3 linked regions of the Ovis aries genome follow. The protein of the gene in region 3 interacts with the protein of the main gene of each other region in a pairwise test. Links are inferred from orthologs where the notes say so. Each region holds a gene or a part of one and is shown on either strand. Other genes may lie near its edges.

Region 1 (4,248 bases), on a different chromosome or scaffold from region 3:
CCTCTGCACTCATCCTGTAAAAGAATCCCAGCCAGATAAAGGAAACCGAAGACTGACACTGTACAGCAGGGATCCACAAACCGTGACCTTCAGGCCAAAGCCAGACTGCAACCTGTTTTTACACTTTTAAAGAGACAAAAAGAACATAAAGGAGAGAAAAGGAGGGGAAGGGATGGAGAAAAGAAAGAAAGGGAAGCAAAAGAAAGGAAAAGGAAGGAAGAGGGGGAAGGAGAACAGGAAGGAAGACAATGCCACAGTGGCCATATGTGACCTGCAAAGCGTAAAATATTTGTTATCAGCCCCTTTACAGAAAAAGTTTGCCAACGTCAGCTCTAGAGAAATCTCTCTTCTGACTATTCAGAAAAATATGGGCCTTGGCTTTTTCATGACTCCCTACTCTTTTACCCTGCATCACAGTCTCAAAATGCTCCTCAGGGTGTATCACTGTCTACATGCTTTCTTTGGTCTATGCAGAGGTTTAAAGGTCTTAAAGCTGTAACCCTCTTCCACTGGGACAAAAGACATGGTCAGGTAGGAAAAGACTGTAAGGGACGAGAAGGCTCGAACAGGGGTTTGCAAGACGGTCAGAGGACCCAGCTACCGGGCAATGGGGCTGTCAATCTGTTTGTTAGTAAGCGATGTTGAACCCCAGACTGCTTATCTCTCCCACCCCAGCCTACAGCCCAGTAGGAAATGGTGAAGAATGAGACAGGGAGATTAGGAGGACAAACTGGCTTACTGTGGGGCTGACATTTAGACATGTGATGTGAGGTAGCTGGGGATGGGGTGCACAGGGGCAACCTCCCCTACGTGCTAGGCACACACTTTCTATTACACCATGGGAGTAGAAGTGACACTGTGGAGGGCCACCGCCCAAATAAAAACTCCCCTCCTGAGGTCCATTCTGTCTCTGGGCACTATCATTATCACAATTTTCCAGATGAGGAAACTGAAGCACAGAGATGTTCAGTAACTTGCCCAAGGTCACATGGTTAAGTCACGTAACCTTAGTTTCCTCATCTGCAAAGCAGCCTCCAGGAACGACCTCATAGTATTTTGTCTTACGACAATGCCTGTCACATAATACTTGCTATTATCACAATTATTTGCCCCTACCAAGACTCCTTCTGCTCCACCAGTTTCGCGGCAGAATATTAGTATCTAACATTTGGTGAATGTTTCTTGTGCACTACCTTAGTGAACATGAACTCAGAAAATCCTCACATTTATCATCATCACCACTCCCATTTTGGCCGCCACCAGCCTTGTCCAGATTCCAACGCTTTCCAGGCACTACCACCAGCCCGCCCGGGCTACGTCATTACGGCGCGTCGCGCGGGAAGCCACGGGGAGGTGAGAAAGCGCCCCTTCCTAACGCCCTTGTTTGCTTGCTTCCACTCTTGAGTCATCGCACGGTAGGGTGGCGCGGGTCTGGAGGGGCCCTAAGGTAAGTGGACAGGGAATAAGGGACGGCGGCCATGGCCGATAGGACGACAGCGGGGGTGGTTGGGAGAGGGTCGGGCTTGAGCCCCGGCGCTTGGTCGAGCCGCCTGTAGGCGCCTCACGCAGGCGCAGTACGGCCAGCGTCGAGCGCAGAGAAGTGGAGTAGCCGATAGTGAGTCCACGGGAGGTGTGGCCCGCTGTGGGGGCGCGGCGGTGCGGCACGGTCCCCTGTGTGGGCGGAATCGGGGCGGTCTATGGAGAGACTCGGCCCAATGTAAAAGAGGGGATCACGCACCTGCGGTCGTCAGGAATTTGGAGGCTCCAGACAAGGGCGGAGTTTGAGAAAGGGGCTGCACCCGGTGAGTGGCGCGGAAGGGATTGGTCGGTGCCAATGGCGGGGCGAGAAGGAGGAGGGGCCAGCGGAAGGCGGCTCGAACTGACTGAAGGAGCTTGGTGAAGCGCTAGGGGTTGGACTTGGGTAGGGGGTGGGGCCTGTTGGAGGGAAAGAGGCAGTCCCCTGAGGAGCTGGGCTTGTCAAAACGTTAGGGTCAGGATCTAGCCAAATGGAAGGTGCTGGGCTGGCCCGATAAGGGGTGGAGTTAAGTGGATCGTTAAGGGTGGAGTCGGGGCCGGGGCCGGGGCTGGGTCTGGCTGAGTGAAAGGGTGGCTGATGATCTTGGGAGATTGGCTGGAAGGGGCAGGTTTGCGAAGGGGTGGGGTCTGCGCGAGGCTTTGGGGAATGAAAGGGTTGATAGAGCGGAAGGGGCGGAGAGAACGGACTGAGCTTGGGGGTTAATTGCTCTGTTAAAGGGCAAGACTTTGAAAGGAGAAAGAATAGTGTTAAAGGGATGGAGCCTAGTGGAATGGGCGGGACCAGGTAGGATGGACACCCGGTTGGAGGGAGAGAGCCTTGAGAGGTGGAGTTTAAAAGGCGGTCGGGAAGAGCCAGCATAAGGGAAGGAGACTAGCCTAGGGGGCGGGGTCTGGGAAGGGGCTGGTATGTGGGGTCTTCAGGGCGTTCGGGCTCCTTCACCGTCACCTCCACCCCACCCCCCAGGACCGCGTCAGGGGTGAAGTCTCCCCAGCCATGACCTCCACCGGTCAGGATTCCACCACACCCAAGGAGCGAAGGAGTAGGCACAATCCCCCCTCCCCCACCCATGACTCCAGCATCACCTCGGTGAGGCCCCCCAACCTGCCTTGATGAGGGGGAGGGGGAGCAGCGGGCTGTGCATTGGACTCTGACCCTTCTCTCTGTTTGGCAGAAGCGAGGTATTAAAAAGGGTGCCATGCTCCGCTCCAGCCCCAGTCTAGCGGAGGTAAAGAAGAAAGGCAGAATGAAGAAGCTTAGCCAAACAGCCGAGCAAGACCTCATCATGGGGCTGCAAGGGCTGGTGAGAGGCTCCTGGGACAATCAAAACCCTAAGGTTCTCCATCCTGGACAGTGTGGGATGTTCCCTCTGATTCAGGCCCTCAATGCATCAGTCTCTCCCATTTTTTTCCTCGCAGAATCTGAACCTGGAGGCCAGGACACTGTCTGGCACTGGTTTGGTGTTCGATGAACAGCTAAATGAATTCCACTGCCTCTGGGATGACAGGTGAGGCTGGCTCCTCCAGGCCACACCCAGTGCACAAATATATGCACTTAGAGCCCATTAGCAAGAATGAACCCTTTCTTACTCTAGCCTAGAGACTGGAAGCAAGTGATTTAGGGAGATGGGGATCAGGCTCGAATGGGTTCTTTTCATTTAGCCAACGAACATTTATTGAGTGCCTACTGTGTGCCAGACATGATACGAATGTGTCAGACAAGACAGACAGGGAGCTGACAAGTAGGAGAACAGGTCGCTAAATAGCCGTCAGCAACGTGAGGTATTTGGTGAAGGAGGACTTAAGACCAGGGCTTTCAAGAGTGTTTACTAGAGGACCTTAGATTAGTAACCAGGGTTCTCAGGAGGCTTCCTTGAAGAAGGGACCTTTGTGCTGAAATGGAAGAATTACACTTCCCATTCAGTCACATGTTGCAATCCATCAGCAAATTCTTTTGGCTGTTTGAAATGGATTCAGAATCTGACCTCTCCTTGCCATCTCCACTGCCACCACCATTATGACTCACCTAGACTTGCAGAGACCTCCTTGCTTCCACCCTCGCCCCTATTGCCTGTTCTCCATACAACAGCCTAAAAGAATACATACAATGATGTTCTCTCTCTTAAAGTCTTTCAAGGACAGACTGTTTCCCTGAAGGTAAAGTTTAAATTCTTCATCCTGGCCTTCAGCGTTCCATGTGACCTGGTTCCATATCACCTCCATGACCTCTTCAGCCAATCCTACCCCTCATTTGCTTCACTTCACTTCATGCACACTGATCCCCTTGCTGTTCTTCCAACATGCCTGGCATTCTCTCATCTCAGCCTCCTCTCCCAGTTAACATTCAGATCTCAAGGAGACCCTTGGAGAGGGCTTTGCCTGGCCACTCCCCTTTCCCCACACCTGAGATATTCCTAACCGATGCCATTGTTTTGTCCATTATTATTCTTATGTGGAGAATGAAATGGCAATCCACTCCAGTATTCTTGCCTGGGAAATCCCATGGACAGAGGAGCCTGGTGGGCTACCGTCTATGGAGTCGCAGAGTCGGACATGACTTAGTGACTACAACTTGCTTAAGTGTTTACCAGTTTAATTTCTATTGCCCGTCTTCCAGTGGAAGACTCTGGATGGCAAAAAGCTTCATTACCAAATACATATCTATCTCCTGAGGCACTAGGGACAGGCAGTAGACAAAACAAACAAAACTCCTGC
Region 2 (4,450 bases), about 83 Mb from region 3:
GTTAATTGACACAGTAACACTTGATTCTTAATGAAATGTTCTCATGCTTAGATATATTACTCATGGTAGAGAAATGAGTGTTTTGCTGTGATATGTTATGAAATACGTGTTATATCCTAGTTTGTCTACTGACACTGGGGTCTTGAATCTTAAAAAAAGGCCTCCGATGAAGCAGAGGAAAGTGGATCACAGGGGAAATTGGTGGAAGCTCTCAGGCAAATGAGAATTAATCATAGGGGAAACTACCGACAACTTCTGGAGGAGATGCTGACTAGTTACAGGCTAGCTAAAGTAGAGGGCGAAGAAAATCCTGCTGAACAAGCTGCTACAGCTGCTTCTTCGAACAGTGATGCTGGAAACACAGTGACAATGCAGGAAAGCCATACTGAATCAAAAAGTGATCTTGCTGAATTAGACAGCTGTCCTGAAGATGCAGGGACAAAGATGAGTGGGGAAAAGCTATGACTTGACTTTGTGGTAATATTGTTGTGATCTTTGATTTGATGGTTTTTTTCTTAGGAAGTATAATGTATGCATTTATATAACCATTTTGTTATTTGAAATCTTGGTAAACTAGTTTTATTATATTCATATATTATAGCCTTGTTTTTTAAGAAGGCTTTTGCATACATCTTTATCAGATAGTTTAAAATTGGCTATATTCTAGTACTTTGAATTTAATAAAATTACATGTCATTTCATATTGTATGCCAGAAATGAGGCTAACAGTTTATTAAAGTCAGTAGTTAAATTCATACTAGGAAAGGATTAGAAATTACCGATTAGCAAGATTACTTTATATTGTGGAAAAAATTGTTAATGTAGAATTATACTGCTTCACATATTAGTACATTCATAGTTAGCTCTGTAATGAATTTGTGTTTTCTTTAGTAATTTTAGTTCTTCAAAGAATGGCAGATGCTGTCCTGTAATTTCTTTTTTCAAGGATGATAATTTGTGTGTTCTTGGAATTGTTTATATTTTGCCTCTCTGTAGTTTTATTTTTTAGTAGTTTTGAGATTCCGGATGTGTGGTTATTTTTCCTTTTTCTGTATCCTTTATGAAACATCATTTTTGAAAAACCTGTGTATTATTCATCCAGCTTTGGTTTGTATATTCTGTGTAGCCTGACTACATACATCCAAATGTATGTCAACCAAGTGTTTAGAATGAAATTATACATGTTTAAGTCCAAATAAAGCATGTGATGTGGAATAACCTATGCATGTTGTACTTATTTTTAATTTTTTTAAAAAACAACCAGGTTTGGTATATTGGAAAAATAACTTGAATTTCATTTGTATCTATATAAAACTTAGAAAACTTTTGGTTTGGTGCGTTTTTCATTAATTAAAAAAATTTTGAGAAGTCTTGGTTACTCAAAGTAAATCTATTCTGTTTCTTAACCCCCTTTGTGACACAAAATATTAATCTTTGGACAGTATGAACACATGTAAACATGTCAGAAGGTTGTCATGATGAGCTTTTTAAAGATTGCAAGACTTTGAGTTTTGCTAGAAGTATTCATCAGAAATTAGTAATGCAAGAAGTAGAAGATGTTTTAAATAGTGGTGGCAGATATGAGTTTGACTTTGCTAAAATGAATTTTTAAAATACAAACAACTAAATCACATTAGAGTATTTTTTAAAACAATTGTGTATGTAGAACATTTTAACTTTGCTTTTTCATGTTTTATATTTATCATGTGTCTAAAGTTGCTTAAGGTGCCATAAGTTGAAGCTTTGCAATCTTTGGATATAGCTGATGTTTTGATCTGTTTTTCCAATGCCAGAATATTTTTAAGTGGTTTGAGAAAGAGGAAGTCATTTGGTGGAAAGGGGAGGAAAAAACCCAACCAGTTATCTATCTATATTAGATAGATCCATGTGTGTATACACACAGTATACAATACACACAACTCTCTCTGTAAAAGTACCTTTCAGACAAAGAAAGGAAGGTAACTTGTTCATCTGATTTTGTTTTCTTTTGAAATTCAGTCCAGCCTGGAAGTGGTGTAGGTAAATAGTAATAATATTCTTCCTTTTCTCTTCCTGTAGGGTGCTGGAGATCTAGAAGACCCATGGTAGCCTTATAAACCTTCTAAAATGCTTTTGATTCTGAAAATTGGGGGAAAAAACTTTTAATCACAATTTTCTTCAATACAAGGGAAAAATATTCTTGTGGATTCCCAGCGTTTTGTGATATGAGCAGAAAATCATTAGCATTTCCCATCATTTGTTCATATTTGTGTTTTCTGGTAATTGCCACTTGTAGCATTGCCTGTACTACAGTATTTTTGCCAGCCTCAGACATACTGGTTACATCTGTATTGAACTTTTGACCCTAGAAACCAATGGAGTTATTTCACCACAAATAACGAATATGCCTGAGGTGCATGGGAATATAGTTAGCTGTACTCTGAAGATACATTATTATTATTTTTTTTAACTAAGGCACACAACATATAAGCATGTAAGAGTAAAGAACTGTATGAGATGTTCCTTTTTTCAATTCACCAAGTTGGAAGCCTTTTGCAGCTCTGTGGCTTAAAATTTCATTTGAGCAATTTACTATAGGATTTATATTTATTATTAATTGTTATTTAATTTTTTTTTCCAATTTTACCTGTATTACCAAACTGGGTTCTCCAATAATGTCCAAATTGTAATGTTGCCTGCTTCAACATAAAGTATATTTGGCAATAATATTATAAACCCTTACAAATTTTATGCATGTATCTACTACATCCTTCAATTCTCACTAGAAAAATCTCTTGAAACCAAATGGATTAATTTATGGCTATTTATAATTTGCTTTGACATCTCACTGCTGCAAATTTTTTTAAATGATGAAATTTGCCTTTATAATGTAAATTGTGATTTTTGTTTTACATGTGGGTTTCTATAGTTTTAATTTTTCAGCTTTTAAGATACAACAGGTTTTGTGTAATTTGGTATAATTTTTAATTGTTTACATTATTTTAAAAGCTCAGAATATCACATTGAAATGACTATAAATACATTTAAAATTATCTATTTTAGATCTAAGGAAATATTACAGAGATATTTTCATGGGTTCAGTAACCTTTCATTTTATAACATTGGGCACGGTACGGAGTGGCTGTCACATAAGGTACTTGAAGATTATTAGTTTAATTCTATTTTTACAATAACCTTGAATTCTTGAATTCTTCTGAGTTTTGCATGTATCCAGTTAATGCTGAACGTGAAGAGTGAAATATTTATCTAAAAGGAGCGTGGGGGTAGGAGAGCAATGAATGTATCCATTTGTACATGGTGTACATGTTGTGGATGCTTTGTAAACATTTTCCTATCTGTTCAAATTGTGTTTCAGCAGGATGTAATTGCCCTTGTGTGTAGTTGAAATGAGTCATCATCTGGTCCTGTGTGAAATGGAATTCATGGTATTTTCTGTAACATTTTCCTGAAGCTGTTTCTGGAGAGCCACACATTTAAATACAGCTTTCTTGATCATTTCGATTTATTGTGCACCTGATTTTTTGGTCTGAAAGGAATTATTGCCACAACATATTTTATTTATTCTTTAGATTTTAGCCTTGTAAGTTAAAGTGCTTTACATGATGATGTTAAGAGCTATTTGTCCCTTGACTGGGTTTGGGGGGGTTGTTAAAAGATAGGGAATGAAGAATGCAAAATGGTTGTTGTTCAAACTGTCCACTCTGATCCAACCCTGTACTGATAGTACCTTTCCAGTATGATATTGTGATGTTTCATACAATGCAGTGAACATAACCAACTTGTTACCTAAATAAAGACTTGATAAAAACAGTGTGACATATTACTATTTTGTATGGTATTTAAAAATAAAAGTTCAGCTTTGTATGTTATCGTAAACATCTGATATAGTTAGAATATCTGTTATAAAAAATTTCATACAAAACCATGTAGGGGAGTTACAATTAAATCCAAGGAGGTATTAACCAAACTCTGTAGGACAATACTAGTAATCCCTTATCCACTCCCAAAACATTTTTATACTGTTTTAAGAAATCTTTTTCAGGGGACTTTGTGGCCATGGAAATAAAAATTTTGTGTGAGGTAGCAAAAGAAACACCCATATTCAGTATTTACTAATCTAAATTCCGTAGTCTAGCTGTTCTCGGCTGTTTTTGTTATCAGGACCCATTTATATATCTAAAAATTCAAGATCCCAAAGGACTTTTTGCTTTTGTGGGTTTTGTGTATTGTATAGAAGTTAAAACCAAGAAATTTTGCATACCATTTTAATTCATTAAAGATAAAACCATTACCTGTTAAAATAAATAGCATGTTCTATTAAGATAATTATTTTCCAGATCTAAAGAGTTTAGTGTGAAAAAATAGCACTAGCTTTCATTTTTGTAAATCCTTGAACGTTGACTGGATTCTCTTATTTACTTTTGCGTTCAATCTGTTGCAGTGTGGCACT
Region 3 (2,559 bases):
TCCCTGGAGCGGCCGGCAAGACCGGCCGGGCCAGTCCTCTTGTCCTCAGGTGCTGGGAGAACCGGGAGGGGCAGAGCAGGTATGGAAAAAGATCGGGAGGGAGTCCGGGAAGCAGGGGCTGCTTGGGCAGCCAGATTTCTGAGCGATTATCCCGATCTAAAGACCGGACTCCCACTGAAGATGGCACTGTTGTTCTAACAAGCTTTGATGGCCATCTGGGGGAAGTGTTCACGGAGACTTTTTTTTTAAGAGAATGAGTTTTAAAACATGAATTTCAGTATTCTACCTCTTAGGACTTTTTCTAACGTCCCTGAACGCGTTGTTTTGTTATTCCCAGTTGGTTGCCCTATAGAGATTTAATAGTAAAACCCTAAAATGAAAAGGACTGTGCTCTATGCTCGTCTTAAGGGAATAAGGAAAAGTAGGGATGGAGAAAGCGACATGGGGCCCAGTAGGATTGTCAAGAGACAGAAGCATCCACTGCTGAGAGACAGGGAAAAAGAGTGTTCTATCTCATACACTTTGACAGGTTTTCATTTGACAGACAGAAAGCTGCAAAACTTTGGCATTTTTATTCAGACGTATAAAAACAAAACAAAAAATTTCAGGGATAAAAACAGATACCCCAGTTTCCCATCCAAAGGGACAGAGGTCTGAAGCTGGGTCCTCTTTCTATCCCTACTGGAAGCTTCCCACGACTGGATGAGAATAGCTCCTGAAAGTGGCTCTTGGGACCCCCGTGAATCTGTCCCTTGGGTGGAGCTCATATACAGCACATGTAGGCTACGGTTTACACAGAGATGTCCAGTTATTTTTCCTTCTGACCACCCCCTTCCACTTCTAGGATAAGAGGTCAGGGTGAAGGAGGAGGCTACAGTAGTTGTTGGAGTTAGACTTGATTCAGTGCAAAAACAAGAAGACAATGCCCCTTACCAGGGCTCTGGCTTACATCAGTTTTCCTTGATACCTTACAGTAAGAGCACATGCATTGGAAGATTTTGAATCATGGACCTGCTACTTGATTTACTTAATCTCTTTAAGGCTCCTCTATCCATGGGATTCTCCAGGCAAGAATACTGGAGTGGGTTGCCATTCCCTCCTCCAGGGGATCTACCCGACCCAGGGTTCGAACCCGTGTCTCCTGTGTCTCCTGAATTGCAGGCGGATTCTTAACCCACTGAGCCATCAGGCAAGTCCCTCTCTAAGGCTCAGTTTCCTTATTTGTAAAATAGGCTAATACCTAGGTCACAGAGTTGATGTCAAGGATGAAGTGAGATAAATTTAGGTAAAGTTTAGCAGGATGCTTGGCACATAGTAAATGCTCAATTAATAGTAATCATTAATATCTACTCCCAACCTCTTTCTTCACTCCACAAGATTTCACTTCTCATTCTTTCTGCAGGGTTAAGGATCGTAAGCCAAAATTTTCCTTTCCCCTGCCAGGTTCCCCCCTTTCCTCTTCCTTTAAAGTCTAAAGGGAAATAAAGGCATACTTTAAAGCCTAGTGTCAACAAGTCAGAGTCTAAGAAAAAGGGACAAGAGTAATCCTTCATATCTCCAGGGAGTTCCCCTGAGGAAGCTGAGGAATGGGATTGGGAAAGCACACAAAATAGGGAAAACCATCTCCTTTCCTGGGATCAGGAAAGAGAAAAAGTGCACAGCTGGCTACATAACCACAAGAAATTTGTGTCAAAGTGTTTAAGGCCTCCATAATTTGAATGGAATTGTCTAGGACTAGGAAATGGGGCTGAGACCTGTGAGGGAGAGAGACCAAGAAGAGGGTTACTCTCCAGAGGCACTAGCTGCCATCAAATGCTCCCTGAGCACCTCAGTGAGTAAGGGTTATATTCTCTGGGCATTAGCTTTGGGGAAAAGCCTGCTATGCCAGTAATCAGGGTTATCAAAGGCAGAGTCAGTGGCTTCTAAACTACGTAAAGCTTTGAGGCGGGCATAGTGGACCTGGGGCCCACGGAGTACAGGCCCCTGGAAAGCTCTCATTTCTTCATACCCTTGCTCAGAGGCTGGGCAGGCGCCCATGGCTGCATAGTCCCCCCCAGCGCCTCCTCCACCACGTCGCCGATTCATATATTCATAGTCCTCATCTGGAGTTGTGCTGGCGTTGGGCATGTTGGGCACGGGGTTGAGTGGGCAACTCTGTGTGCTGCCCAGGGAGGCACTGAGGTCTGATCCCACATCCATGTACTCATAACCCAGCTCCTCGAGGGAACTTGGCCTAGGAGGACGAGATGGACTGCACCTTCTCCTCCGGTTCATGTATTCATATTCCTCATCATCGTCGTCTTCTGTACCCAGAACAGAACTGAGACCCACTGAAGAAAGGGTGCCTTCCCGGGAGGAGGTACCTAGGGGTAGAGAAGAGAGGCTAGGTATGTGGTATTACTTCATGGTAATAGGCAGTGGGGAGTAGAAGGATGTTAGGAAAAAATGAATAGGGAAGGATATGCTCGGGGAAGACAAAAGGATTAAGAGGAGCCTGCAAAAGGAGGATTAGAGAAAGATTTGAGGAAAGCAGAGCAGAATCAGGCACCTTTGATGCGT

What was found.
Region 1: the proteins of ERBB3 (region 3) and HDAC6 interact in a protein complementation assay, tested with the Homo sapiens proteins (2 studies listed by BioGRID and IntAct, with this or other methods). The link is inferred for Ovis aries from reciprocal best matches to the Homo sapiens genes ERBB3 and HDAC6.
Region 2: the proteins of ERBB3 (region 3) and PPM1B interact in a two-hybrid assay, tested with the Homo sapiens proteins (2 studies listed by BioGRID and IntAct, with this or other methods). The link is inferred for Ovis aries from reciprocal best matches to the Homo sapiens genes ERBB3 and PPM1B.

Annotation. Positions count from the first base shown.
Region 1 is NC_056080.1:56,256,678-56,260,925, reverse strand, and holds the start of HDAC6 (histone deacetylase 6), read left to right. Parts: upstream 1-1,320; 5' UTR 1,321-1,353; exon of another isoform or gene 1,354-1,447; intron 1,448-1,623; exon of another isoform or gene 1,624-1,802; intron 1,803-1,940; exon of another isoform or gene 1,941-2,144; intron 2,145-2,201; exon of another isoform or gene 2,202-2,320; intron 2,321-2,500; 5' UTR 2,501-2,530; coding exon 2,531-2,623; intron 2,624-2,708; coding exon 2,709-2,870; intron 2,871-2,952; coding exon 2,953-3,041; intron 3,042-4,248.
Region 2 is NC_056056.1:80,069,276-80,073,725, reverse strand, and holds the end of PPM1B (protein phosphatase 1B), read left to right. Parts: intron 1-120; coding exon of another isoform or gene 121-132; exon of another isoform or gene 133-159; coding exon 160-465; 3' UTR 466-2,058; coding exon of another isoform or gene 2,059-2,088; 3' UTR 2,089-3,810; downstream 3,811-4,450.
Region 3 is NC_056056.1:163,433,823-163,436,381, forward strand, and holds the end of ERBB3 (receptor tyrosine-protein kinase erbB-3), read right to left. Parts: coding exon 2,549-2,559; intron 2,364-2,548; coding exon 1,843-2,363; 3' UTR 554-1,842; downstream 1-553. UniProt on the Homo sapiens protein: Tyrosine-protein kinase that plays an essential role as cell surface receptor for neuregulins.